4 linked regions of the Danio rerio genome follow. Each later gene encodes a partner of the first gene's protein in a complex. Links are inferred from orthologs where the notes say so. Each region holds a gene or a part of one and is shown on either strand. Other genes may lie near its edges.

Region 1 (3,600 bases):
GATGATAAAAATGTGTGTAAATGGACAAACCAGCAGGCTCAGCACATTGTAAAACATATAAAATGTTGTTTTGGTCATTCTAAAACACCTTAAACGTTTCAGTATTAGTGTTATTATACAATTAATGACCTAAAGAACTATCAAGAGCGTCTGTGCTCAGCGTCTCACGGCTTTAAACGCCTCCGCACATTCACTGCGAATCGGCATACTGTCTTCTAAGGCGCAAGTAATTTATTAAATAAGGAAAAAATTGATGCAGCTTCTCCTACCGCAACAAATTCCATTTTTACTGTTGATATTTGGCACCAGTTAATCAGGAAGTGACAACTTTGTTCTCTTTGACTACTTGGATGGAAACGCTGCTTTATTCGTATGTCTTATATGGGATATTCCAGTTTTGCGCTTAGTTAATTAGCATTGAAATTATAAAAACTAAAGTAAAAAAAAGAAAATAAAAATGATTAATTAGTTTACAAAAAACTATTTTAAAATAACTTTAAATTGATTGTAAATTTAAAAAAAAGTATATATATATATATATATATATATATATATATATATATATATATATATATATATATATATATATATATATAATTATTGTTATTATAAAAAGTATAAATTTAATTTTTTACAATATATTATTATATTATATATATTATAATCATAGTTATTGTTGTTTTTTATATATATATATATATATATATATATATATATATATATATATATATATATATATATATATATATATATATATATATATATATAAACAGTGTTGCTTGTGATGTGCGTTTAGATAAAGACCCAGAAAATTGGACTGCAGAAGTTGATCCTTCCCTCTTCAGCTTTGAAATTTTAGTTTCTTTTCTTTACATTTATGAATCATTTCAATTAAAGAGCCCATATTATCCATAACAAAAGGTTATATTTTGTCAACATCGATACGAACAGGAAAAAGATCCAGATGAACGACAAATCATTTAAATGACTCCCGAGTCGAATCTTTTATTAAAAATCAGCTGGATATTTTCATTCACTAAGAGCTGTGTTGCACACTGCATGGAAGGTCATTTTATTCCCCCACAATAGTGACTTTTTAATTATTAATTGATTATATTTTAATTAAATTGATTTTCTGGTTTGGATCTTTATTTGGTTTTGTTACTTTATTCAAGCCTGGAGGCTGTAACACAATTACATCTAAATACAAACCCTAACTAAACTAATACATTAACTATAGCACATAACATTAATAATACATGTTAAACCTGAACACACAAAAGTAAAATCTGTTGCTGACCAGTGCATGTTGTGGGGGATGAGATCTCTCTGCTCCTCCTGCATGTCTGTGGATTTCTGCCACACTGGCTGCAGTTCGACTGGCTTCCTGCCTACAAAACAAACAATACCTCAGATTTAATTTACCCTTGAATGTGTCTTAATGATCTGATCACAAGTTAACAGCACCAAATACAGGTTCACTACAGGGTCCATGATGTTGCTGGTCAACGGACTAATTCCCCAAAAATATATTTAGGTGAACTAAGTCAAAATAACTTTTTTTTAGCACACAAAACAGTTTTTGAAGTCACAATAAATAATTTTACAATATTCTTGATTTTCTTTTTTTTGGACTTTAAATGTCTCATCATGACCCTTACTGTCTTTTAGAAGTTCTTCTCATGTATCTAAAATACTATATAAATATCTTGATTTGTGTTTCGAAGAGCCTCAAGGAATTGGAATGACATGAGGATAATTCAAAACAATTGCAATTTTTGGGTGAAATAATTCTGGTGAAAAACAACATTTTGAAATGAAAATAAAATAAATGTTTATACCTATCCATTTTTTTTTTTTACTTTTTTTTAATAATAAACCAATTCGTAACCAATTTCACATTATTACATTTATTAAATTCAATTTTAAACATTTAAAAGGGGTTCTTTCCTTAACTTACAGTCAGGCATGACTTACTGTCTAGAAATCAAAGTAACCATATGTAAATGCACGCAAAAAAAAAAAAAATGCTTTGTTATGATTTGGTTTTCTGAGGTCAACCAAAGAGAAGCTTTAATTTCTCATTGTGAAATTACAACAGTCATACATTGGTATTATAGAAATCTGTACAATTACTTTAAATCAAATTCGACAGTAATAACATTTATTATTTTGTTTACAATTTTCGTTTGAAAAAAAAAATTATACTATTTATAATAACAATAACTATGATTATAATTATTTCAGGCCAAATTGTGCAACCTAAATACAAAAGCATAAGTGTTGTCGTGCTGGTTTTAAATTTTTTAAAATGTTTTTTATGGCAAAAAATATATATATAATTTTTTTTTTTCTAAAAACATTTAATAGTAACTACAACAACCCATAAGGAAATACAATTCAGTACCTAGCTTGAGACGGAGGAAGAGCAAGGGCCATGGAGTGAACACCCATTTCACTGGGCATCTTCAGCATTTGTGTGTCTGCAGTGAGGACAACTCCTGAAAGCGTAATAATAAAAAAAAAAAAAAAATTATTAGGCCTCAAATAAATTGGTTGAAATGTTTAGCATCTAGGCTAAATAAGTAAAAAAATCCTGGTTCAACCTGGAGCAGATGGATAAGGGTGTGTTCCTGTCACCAAATATTCTGGAGTAGTGTCTGCACAAATGAAGTCAAACAGTTAATAGTTAATGAAATCTTTGAGAGGTTTATTAAAAAAACAAACTAAATGAAAATACTGATATAAAGAAAAAGCCAACAGGATTGGTTTATGAGCCATACCAGGCAGAGGGTACGCCGATTGGCCATATGGGTCAGAGGTGTGGAGAGAACCCTTTTCTCGGCCCTCCTTCAGCACAGGCATGTGTAAGACAGCTTTGTATTCGGCCCGCATCTTTGCTGCCATCTTCACCTTGAAGCTACAGACAAAACGTAAATAACATTAACAAAAGTAACAATTAATGTAACAATTTACACCATTTACTACTGGTTTATTAGCTTTCTATTATTGAGATATTACAATGTTTTAGCACTCATAAAGTTTGATCTTATTGTACATCCCTAATCCTACTCAAATACCTAAACCCAACTACTACCTTACTATTACAAAGCAGCTAATTAGTAGTTAGAGAGCTAAATGTCTTAGCTGATGGTTTGCTAATAGTGTAAATAGTACATTCAACTAAAGCAGAACCAAGTATTTATCAAGTTTTTTTTTTATTTTGTGGCAAAACATTGCTGAATAATTCTAAGCGAGTTTACAGCATAAGAAAGGTTTATACAAACATTAAAAGGGTGATCCACTACAATATCATATTTTAAACTTTAGTTAATGTGTAATGTAGCTGATGTAATGCGCTCAAAGTTCAATGCAAAGGGAAACATTGACTTTTACAGAGTAAGCCTAGCAAAGCCTATAGCGAACAAAAATTGGAGACTGCAAAAATTACATCCGGGTTAAGCAGAATTTATACTTTTGCCTGGCAACGCAGACCTCCGCTGACTGCACGCGCACCTCGCGAAACAGACGAGGCTTTTATATTTGCCGTGTTCGCTGTTGTGATATTCCTTAAAATGACAGGGGGCAGTCAAAAGAAAC
Region 2 (2,841 bases), on another chromosome or scaffold:
AACAAACAATAACTTGACTTCTAGCTGATCATTTGGTATCAGAAGTGGCTTATATGAAAGTCAAAGGCCTCTAGATTACACTTATTTTTACCAAAATACAATATGATAATTCCTTGATTTTTAATTATTTAATTAGGACAGGAAGGGTTTGACTTAGCTTAGACAAAAGTCTAGTCACTTAACAGCAATAACGTCCAGTATAGAATATAAAGTCATGGTGTAGTGGAAAAAGAATGAATATTGTTTTTGATTCCCATGAGCTTGGAGGACTGCATTCATTCATCTCTCCAAAGCCTCAAATAAGTTTATTAATAAATCATCTGGGATGTCAAAGAAAGCATTCTTGCAGGACTCCCAGAGTTCATCAAGATTCTTTGGATTCATCTTTAATGCCTCCTCCATCGTACCCCAGATATGCTCAATAATGTTCATATCTGGGGACTGGGCTGGCCAATCATGGGAGCCAAAAAAAGTCTGTGTTTGTGCACAGAGAAAATGAACATGTCATTATTTCATCATTTTATTGTGTATTTCTTAAAAACATTACAAATAGAGTTAAACAGGAAAATGAACTTATCGTCTATCATAAGACACAAAATTATTATAAAATGAAAAAAAAACGACAGCCCCTAAAGCTTTGGAAAACACCTTTAAGCAAACACAAATGTGAGTTGTGGAATTCCAGAGACAGTGTGCAGTTCATGATTTTGGGAAAGCATATTTTCTGTATGCACTACAACACTATAGCTCACTTGTGTTTTAAAGGCTATTTTCCTATATTATTTATTTGTTTGACAGGAAAAAAAACTAAGCTATTTAAAATAAAAAAGCTGAATATCAGACGTTGCGGAACATTTACTTTTGCAAAGTCTGTGCATGGTGTTCAAAAGTCCTGTCTAATGTTCTCCTTGTTCTCGTCGCCCTGCTGCTGCTTCATCTGCGCCACTTCATTCTCCAGCTGCACGATGGCGCGCTCGATCTCATAGTTCTTACTGACGAGAGACACCCAGCTGTGAAAACACGAGCAGAAATATGTGAGTCAACGAACTGACTACGACATTTTCTGGAACGAGTTGAACATAATGCAGTACTGACTTGGACTCAAGTTCTCTCAGTTTGGCTCCTCCAGCCAGCTGATCGTTTTTGCGCTGCCAGTTCAGGTCTTGTATTTCCTTTCTAAAAGAAAAACAAACACACTTAGGTTGAGTTAGAGTAGAGATTTATTATTTTTGAATCCATTCAGCCGATCTCTGCTGCGTAATATCATTGTGCAAGCTGCCAGACATGGTACCGCAGTAAAATGTCTTGATTATTACACCTTAATCAGAGTATTGTTCCCAGATATATGAGAATATCTCAACTTTTCATTTTCTGTTGGTCCAACTACATCACAGGTGTCAAACTCAGTTCCTGGAGGGCCACAGCGCTGCAGTTTAGCTTTAACCCTAATTGAACACACCTGATCAAACTAGTTGAGTCCTTCAAGCTTATTTGAAATCTAAAGGCTTGTTGAAACAGGGTTGGGAATAAGTGCAGAGCTGTGGCCCTCTAGGAATTGAGTTTGACATCCCTGAAGCACATGATAAAACTACAAAAGAGTCAAGCGTTAAATAGGAAAATGAACTAATCTCTTTGGTCATTTGAGCGAGATGCTAATGGTCTAATCCGATTCAATAATCTATGCTAAGCTAAGCTAAAAGTGCTCCCTCCAGACCAGAAGATTATCAGAATGGATTAAAACTCAACTGTTGAACTCTAGGAGGATTATTTTTAAATAGAGTGCTCCTTAAATATTACATTTGGAAGTCAATTAAACCACACATACAACATCCAAATAGTAAGTAAACTTAATAGACAGATAATGTGCTTACCTTACATTCTGCAGCTCTTTTTGTGAATTTTCAATCATCAAGGCCAAGTTACTGTGTCACAGAAAAGACGACCAGTTATGATCAGCATAATGAATAAAAGAGTAATATGTGCCTCTACCTGTTAAAATGATTGATGACTTACAGCCCTGCCTCTTCTAGGGCGGGATTTATGGTTTAAACCACACTCCTTTTAGGACAGGACTTTGTTTAAACCCCGCCCCTTTTCATGTAAACGTTGCACTTCCAGTAATTAGTTTTAAACAGTTTCATCAAATTAAATTATATATTATAATTCCGCTAATTAAATTGTAATCAAATTAATTAAATTATATTACTGCATCAATTAAATGATAGTTCCTGCAATATTCATCAAAATATTTAAATTATCACAACTGATATTATGATGTAATCAAAATAATTTATTCAATTCACCTATAGTGCATGTTTTTGGACTGTGGGGGAACCAGGGGGACCCGGAGGGAACCCACGCCAACATGGAGAGAACATGCAAACTCCACACAGAAATGCCAACTGACCCAGTCGGGGCTCACACCAGAGACCTTCCTGCTGCGAATAGACAGTGCTAACCACTGAGCTACCGTGCCACCCAGTAAACTATTAACTTAATTATATTTAATTTTGTTGTTTTGTATTATATTACAATTAATACTAATAAATATTAATACACTATATTAACACTATAAACATTTAAATTTCTGTTAAGCTGTAACTATTTTGTGTTTACCCTGTTTGTTCGATGTGTGCGTGTTAGGATGTGTGCGATGATCAGGAAAACATCCACTGACCATTTACAATACCCCAACAGCTGTTTGAGTAAGATAGATTGATATTAAATATAGATCACACATCTGTTGAGAGTGTGGTGTGTGTGTGTGTCTCCTGCTAAGTAGTATATGTTGTCAGGTGATTAGGAAGTGTGATATCTATATATAGGCTGTGTGCATGGGCA
Region 3 (4,057 bases), on another chromosome or scaffold:
GTTGAGGCAGGAACGGTATGGGGTCCCGCGGGGCAAACAATGCCAACAGGTTCGGCGGAAGAAACTGAGTCATTGTTCACCTGGAAGAGAGAAAAAACACAAACGATAAAAAAAATAATCAACAATTAGGAGCACCTCATGCAAGTTAAGCAGTTACTGTGTGAAAATGGTAAATAAGACGTTATTTAAGATAAGGTGGATTTAAATAAGCAGACAAAATCATGCTAACAGATTCAAACTGAAAATTCAGCGTCTTCACATAGATCTGGATCAGTAAACAAACACCCCTTAAACGAGTCTCGTGAAGTTAGCTGCTAGCAGTCTTAGCTTTCTCGGTTAGCTTCGTGCAAACAAACACTTTTATTCTCCACATAATGATTAAACAAACTACAACTTCAGCATCAGATCACGTTAGTGTAGCATCAACAAAAAGAGACGCATCTAATAACTAATATCAGTGCACTCTTTAATACACAAAAATAAAGCAAAGCTCAGTCGTGGTTACGGTCAGCTCTGCTAATTCACCAACTCTCTCATGATGATCATATCCGAGATCGCCTACATTTCCACGGACGGCCTCCTGCAGTCAATTACCTCAGTTTTTCATTCGGCTCCAACGAAATCTCCGATTTTCGGGCCAAAATCCTCTTGCGTGTTTCTGTGGAAGACCTTCGTGCATGAATTTCTTTAATTCACTCGGTATTTTTGTGTGTATTTCGGTCCACACAATACCCAACGTGTGTTCTCACCCAGTTGAACGAGTCGTTCCTTTCTTAAAATGGCGCGAGGCCGTAAACCGCTGCGGTGTTTCACGACACATTTACGTCTAGTGGTACATTCACGATAGGGGCGTGGCCAGTGTGGAATTTGTACTGTAAAATATTATTTATTGTTATACAGTGTCACAAAACTTATGCTATGTTGATGTACGTATCCACAGTATCCTAACTAGACTTTACCTTTATAATGGGAAAAAATTCACTCTAAATCATAATTTTACTTTAAGTACACCATAAAATACCTTAAAACGTCTTTATCCTTAATTTTGCTCAATGCATGCATCCAAATATTGTCTGAATATTGCTAGTTACTGATTAATAATAATAGTAAAGATATGTACATTATCAATTGTTAAATGGGAATATATTCATATCAAATACAACAGCAGTAAACCATTCCCATTCTACGTTTCTTCCCAAACACAAGAGGCGCTGTAACCAAAAAATGACTTCATCGTTTGTTTTTATACGTAGTTAAAGATGGCGGAGTCCGAGGAGCCGAAAAAACCCACCTGCACATTTATTTTTAAGAAATCAAACAAGAAATTTTCCGCACGGAAAAGAAATGCAAGTGACAGCGACAAAGGTACGTTGTGCTTCTTTCTTCAGTGTCTCAATCGACAGCGAGTTTGACTTGAGAAACTATAATCCCTACAACAAGCCGTCTGTTTAATTAATGTTTATGCTCAATACATGTCTGCAGTTCAGTGTTTTGTTTCTTTATCATCAGAAAAAAGCAGCGGCGATGAGGGCAGTGCAGTGGTCAGAAAGAAGAAATCTGCCGCTGTGAACCCCATGATTCAGAAAGTATGTCCGTATTTCATGTGTTTTATGTAACTAGCCGCTGTTAAACTGATGTCATCATTATTATATTTATTATTCGTTTTATAGACGAAGAAAGTGGAGAGGGAAGCTGTCTCATCGAGTGAAAGTGAAGAAGAGAAGGAAGAAAAGAGCGTGACTGTCGCTTACAAGTCCACTCGCTCAGCGGTGAGTCTGACTGACCCAACATTTGTACAGCTTCATGATTTATGCTACAGCAAATTATGAATATAAACGCTTGATGGTGCCTAATAATTCATGACCACGTATGACTTTACATTTCTATTAACGTCTGACAGTTTTTGCGCTGTCTCATTGAAACATTAAAGGCTGTAATTGAGTGTATTTGACTATGTGTTGCAGAAACCAGAGGGGCCGGATGACATGGGGGCCACTGCTGTCTATGAGCTGGACACAGAGAGGGACAAAGATGCTCAGGCCATCTTTGAGCGCAGTCAGAAAATCCAAGAGGTATGCGGGTGATTGGAAATAACTGGCTGCATCATTGTAAAGTCAGGTTTATGTATGTTATGTACAGATTCAAAGTACCTTTACAGTTCTAGATTTAGATAACATTAAACTCAGCATTTTCAATTGTATTTACACATATTTCAAGTAGACAACAGCTCTACAGAAGGTGATATAGTAGCGTGTCATGTCATGTCAGTTCAGTTATTTAGATACCTCACTCAGTGCTTTCAAGCACAGCAGAATCAATTCATTTTAGAAAATAAATAGCCTTTATAATAGGCCTGGGCGATTTGGCCTCAAATCTAAATCTTGATTAACTAAACATTTTAACCCGATTACAACTAATGATTGATTATTTCATTTGTTTTTGCCCTCATAGTTAACTGACAGGTTTCGTAAAGTGAGAGATGTTTGAAAAGGGTGCATTACTTGATTTTAAAATAATTGAAGGAAACGCAAACTATCTACTATCTATGATTATTTATTGAACATCAGCGTTGAACAACTGAAATGAAAACACACATTGCCTAAAACCAACAGTCTTCTTTTTTTCGTTGCTCTCCGCGCTGCCCACTCTTGTCATCACTATCAAGCTGACCAACCGCAGAGCTTGCGCTACGTATCGTCAAGTAGTGACATTTTTTGAGAGGTGCGCGTCAGCCACGGCGAGGAGTATGCGATTGCTCAAAGTCTGCGCTCAATGCAGAAGAATAAACCAGCATCTAAGGAGCGGGGTCATTTCATGTCATGATATTTGATTGTTGATATTGTTAAGATGGCCAGAATATACACAATCTCTTAATCATATGGCTGCGTGTTTGTGTGTAATTTATAGGAGCTGACTGGTAAAGAAGATGATAAGATTTATCGTGGGATCAACAACTATCACAAATTCATTAAACCCAAAGATTCCACTATGGGCAATGCCTCCTCTGGCATGGTCAGGTGAGTCAGTGTTGTTACGAGTTTTTCTTTCTCTTGTTTCCTCTCCCTCTTTCCTGCACTCTCTCGGTCTGAATTATTTCCAGGTGCAGCGGATTACGGCAGATTGTGATTGGTGCTTGGATTGGCGGCTGTATTTAAGAGGCCTTTGTTTATCTTCTGAACACAAATGAAAATGTTTTAGATTAAATCTGACATCTCTCTCATCCTCCATGGACAGTGAGATTTCAAAGATGTTCAAAAGTCCAGAAACCAAAAACATTGCATGGGACTTTAGTGTTCTGATGTGTAATCATGTAGAGCTCCCAAAACACTTGTAAAAAACTGTAAATACATGAAAGAATACTTTATTTTTTGTATACATGACAGGTCAGGGTGCGCGTTTACTAGGCATGGGCCGGTATAAGATTCTGACGGTATGATAACCTTGGATAAAAATATCAGAGTTTCACAGTATTGTGATTACTGCTCAAAAATATTCTTTTAAAATGTCTGGGTAAAAAAAAAACTATTATTGTTCCCATTGAACACAATATATTTTATTTTAAGAAGCATATTTTGGAACAGTAAACATGACAGGCTAAAGAATTTATTGAAGACAGCAGAAGTCAATAGTTTCGAAAACACATATTTCTTTAAAAAAAAATGAAAAAGACATTCATCTTTCTCTTCTTTGGATATAAAGTAAGCCACAGCACTGTTCAGGTCCAGAGCATGCCTGGATGTTTTGGTGCTTAAGCATTTTGTTTTTCAGATGTTCCCTAAACCATGGGCTGACCAGTAGCTGTTGCCCTAAAAAAACTAAATAAAATAAAAAAACATGTTGTAAAAAACATGTTTAAACAATGTACATATACCACAGTGTAACAGAAAATGTTAGCGGTTTTAAAACCCTGACTTTTCCAAACCGCAGGAAACCTTGAAAGTCACATGGATTGTTTTTGGATCCTTTTCTGGACTTTGAACGTCTCTTGTCTATGGAGGATGAGGGTGCTCTCAGATTTCATGTAAAATATCTTTATTTGTGTTCCGAAAATCAAACA
Region 4 (2,601 bases), on another chromosome or scaffold:
AATGCACAGCTGATCCAGAAACAAAGCTTTCCAGCACTTAGCCTGACCTCTAGGGACAGTATAAAGACAGACTGCATGTTTACCACCCATGTATTCCCACAGATGCCTGCAGCCAGAAGCAGGTGGCATTATAAAATAACAACCAAGGCAAAACATTGCTGCCTTAGGCTGATTTTCCAGATCAGCCATTATTAACCGCATTACACCTTTACAAACTCACTGAGCTTTCATCTGTGGCTAGTGAAGATTTCACATGGTGCTAAAAGGGAAAAAACAACAACATGAACAGCACTTGATTATCATGTGTCATTACCAGACCTGGGACACTACAGGCTTTCCAAAGAACCCAGTAAAAAGGGACTAGCAAACATATGCAAAACAGTTTTTTTGCATCCTAAATGTAATGCTGTCCACATTGTTAGCATGCTGGACGAGTCTGTCATTTACATTCATGATCATTGAAAGTGAAACAAAACAAACTGCAGATATGCACAATAATGCAACTTAAAAAAGGAATTTGAGACATTTTTCTTTCAATTTAATGTGACTTTCTTCAAAGTCAGACATTTCTGCAGGGTCCAACAATGTCAAACACAACTTAGGTTACAAAAAATAAGCAACAAAAAAAAAGAGAGAGATGAAAACAGACTTCGGATTTGTTCTCATGTGTACAGTGGAGCTCTCAAGCACTGCCACAATGCTCAGATGAACAGAGAGAGCAGTTTTACTTTATGGATCATGCACACAAGAGGACAAACACGCTGGGGTCTGCCGTCCATGCAAACAAAACTCTCGAAAAAAGTCCCGCGAAGGTTAAGAGAGAATCTATAGGCTAACTCGTACATTATTAACTCAGAACGGCAAATAAGCTTTTCATTTTTTTTTCATCATGACTGTAAAAGCAACACAGAAGGTGAGGGGTGTGGGGACTAAAAAAAGTTTTGTTTGGAACATTTCTTCTTGACAGTATTTAAGTGGTAAGGGTCAAAATCTGATGGAGAAACTTCAGCTGCTCACTCATTTCTATATCATAAAACACTTCAGCAATAAACATGCCAAAATAAAAATAAAAAAACAATTCCAAAACAAATGAAAAAAAAAAAAGTCTAGGGTGAATTTTAACAATTTGTACATTCTAAAGCTGAACCAACATCAAACATTTAAAATGCAGAGAGTGGAAGAGAAAAAGGGAAATGTGGGGTGCAGGAGAGATGCCCTCAGGACTGAGACGATGGAGACATCTGGGCCTTCCTCATTGAGCGGAGAGCTTTCTCACGTAGGTGCTTCTCCAGATCATCCAAACTGTCTTCTACTTCACTCTCTGATTCCTTCAAGAAAGGTAGCATTAATTATGTCTGACTCAAACATAAGTAGTATATTTAGATTTTACATTAGAGACAATACCTAACTCGTAAATTAGGGCTGGGTGATATGGCCATTTTAAAAAATCCCTGATTTTCACAAAAACTCAAATTTACGATTTAAATAATCCCCCCCCCCCCCCCCCATAAAAAAATGCATAAAGTACTAACATACACTCCCCAGCCACTTTATTAGGTACACATCCAAATACTCATTGCAAAATTCTAATCAGCCAATGACATGGCAGCAACTCAATGCATTTAGGCGTGTTGACATGGTCAAGACAATCTGCTGCAGTTAAAACTGTGCATCAGAATGGGGAAGAAAGAAGATTTAAGTGCCTTTGAAAATGCCATGGTTGTTGGTGCCAGATGGGCTAGTCTGAGTTTTTCAGAAACTGCTGATCTACTGGGATTTTCACACACAACCACCTCTATGGTTCCACTGAGCGGCAGTTCTGTGAGCGCAAATGAATTGTTGATGCCACAGGTCAGAGGAGAATGGCCAGACTGGTTCCAGCTGAAAGGCAACAGTAACTCAAATAACCACTCGGTACAACCGATGTATGCAGAAGAGCATCTCTGAACACATCGAACCTTGAGGCAGATGGGCTACAGCAGCAGAAGACCACACCGGGTGTCCTGTCAGCTAAGAACAGGAAACTGAGGCTACAATTCGCAGAGTTTCACCAAAATTGGACAATAAAAGATTAGAGAAATGTTGCCTGGTCTGAAGAGTCTTGATTTCTGCTGCAACAGTCAGATGATAGTGTCAGACATTGGTGTCAACAACATGAAACCATAGATTTATCTTGCCTTGTATCAATGGATCAGGCTCGTGGTCGTGGTATAATGGTGCGGGGGATAATTTCTAGGCACACTTTATGCCCATTGGTACCAATTGAGCATGGTGTTAACGCCACAGCCTACCCGAGTATTGTTGCTAACCATGTACATTCCTTTATGACCACAGTGTACCCATCTTTGTATGGCTACTTCCAGCAGGATAACACGCCATGTCAAAGCACGAACCATCTCAGACTGCTTTCTTGAACATGACAATGAGTTCAGTGTACTCAAATGGCTGGCACCTGAAAGATTACTCTAGCCTAGTGCACTGAGCAAGTCTGACAGTGTTGATATTTACAGTAATGAACATCTTTACAGCTGGGTCACATCATTTATCCGAAAACAGCAACGTTGGATTCCAACATTAGATGGGTAACAGTCATAGATATTT

The links.
Region 2: plrg1 (region 1) and bcas2 share a complex: the UniProt entries of both Homo sapiens proteins name them as parts of the PRP19-CDC5L splicing complex. The link is inferred for Danio rerio from reciprocal best matches to the Homo sapiens genes PLRG1 and BCAS2.
Region 3: plrg1 (region 1) and rnf113a share a complex: the UniProt entries of both Homo sapiens proteins name them as parts of the minor spliceosome. The link is inferred for Danio rerio from reciprocal best matches to the Homo sapiens genes PLRG1 and RNF113A.
Region 4: plrg1 (region 1) and srrm1 share a complex: the UniProt entries of both Homo sapiens proteins name them as parts of the minor spliceosome. The link is inferred for Danio rerio from reciprocal best matches to the Homo sapiens genes PLRG1 and SRRM1.

The regions. Positions count from the first base shown.
Region 1 is NC_133176.1:27,252,587-27,256,186, reverse strand, and holds part of plrg1 (pleiotropic regulator 1), read right to left. Parts: intron 2,921-3,600; coding exon 2,784-2,920; intron 2,661-2,783; coding exon 2,607-2,660; intron 2,502-2,606; coding exon 2,408-2,501; intron 1,392-2,407; coding exon 1,301-1,391; intron 1-1,300. UniProt on the Homo sapiens protein: Involved in pre-mRNA splicing as component of the spliceosome. Component of the PRP19-CDC5L complex that forms an integral part of the spliceosome and is required for activating pre-mRNA splicing.
Region 2 is NC_133183.1:12,579,630-12,582,470, forward strand, and holds the end of bcas2 (pre-mRNA-splicing factor SPF27), read right to left. Parts: intron 1,923-2,841; coding exon 1,872-1,922; intron 1,177-1,871; coding exon 1,096-1,176; intron 1,011-1,095; coding exon 884-1,010; 3' UTR 508-883; downstream 1-507. UniProt on the Homo sapiens protein: Required for pre-mRNA splicing as component of the activated spliceosome. Component of the PRP19-CDC5L complex that forms an integral part of the spliceosome and is required for activating pre-mRNA splicing.
Region 3 is NC_133178.1:30,712,647-30,716,703, reverse strand, and holds the start of rnf113a (E3 ubiquitin-protein ligase RNF113A), read left to right. Parts: upstream 1-1,257; 5' UTR 1,258-1,259; coding exon 1,260-1,365; intron 1,366-1,509; coding exon 1,510-1,586; intron 1,587-1,670; coding exon 1,671-1,769; intron 1,770-1,964; coding exon 1,965-2,072; intron 2,073-2,907; coding exon 2,908-3,017; intron 3,018-4,057. Other genes in the region: snrnp70 (U1 small nuclear ribonucleoprotein 70 kDa), read right to left, coding at 1-73. UniProt on the Homo sapiens protein: Required for pre-mRNA splicing as component of the spliceosome. As a component of the minor spliceosome, involved in the splicing of U12-type introns in pre-mRNAs. E3 ubiquitin-protein ligase that catalyzes the transfer of ubiquitin onto target proteins.
Region 4 is NC_133192.1:26,834,282-26,836,882, reverse strand, and holds the end of srrm1 (serine/arginine repetitive matrix protein 1), read right to left. Parts: intron 1,329-2,601; coding exon 1,218-1,328; 3' UTR 517-1,217; downstream 1-516. UniProt on the Homo sapiens protein: Part of pre- and post-splicing multiprotein mRNP complexes. As a component of the minor spliceosome, involved in the splicing of U12-type introns in pre-mRNAs. Involved in numerous pre-mRNA processing events.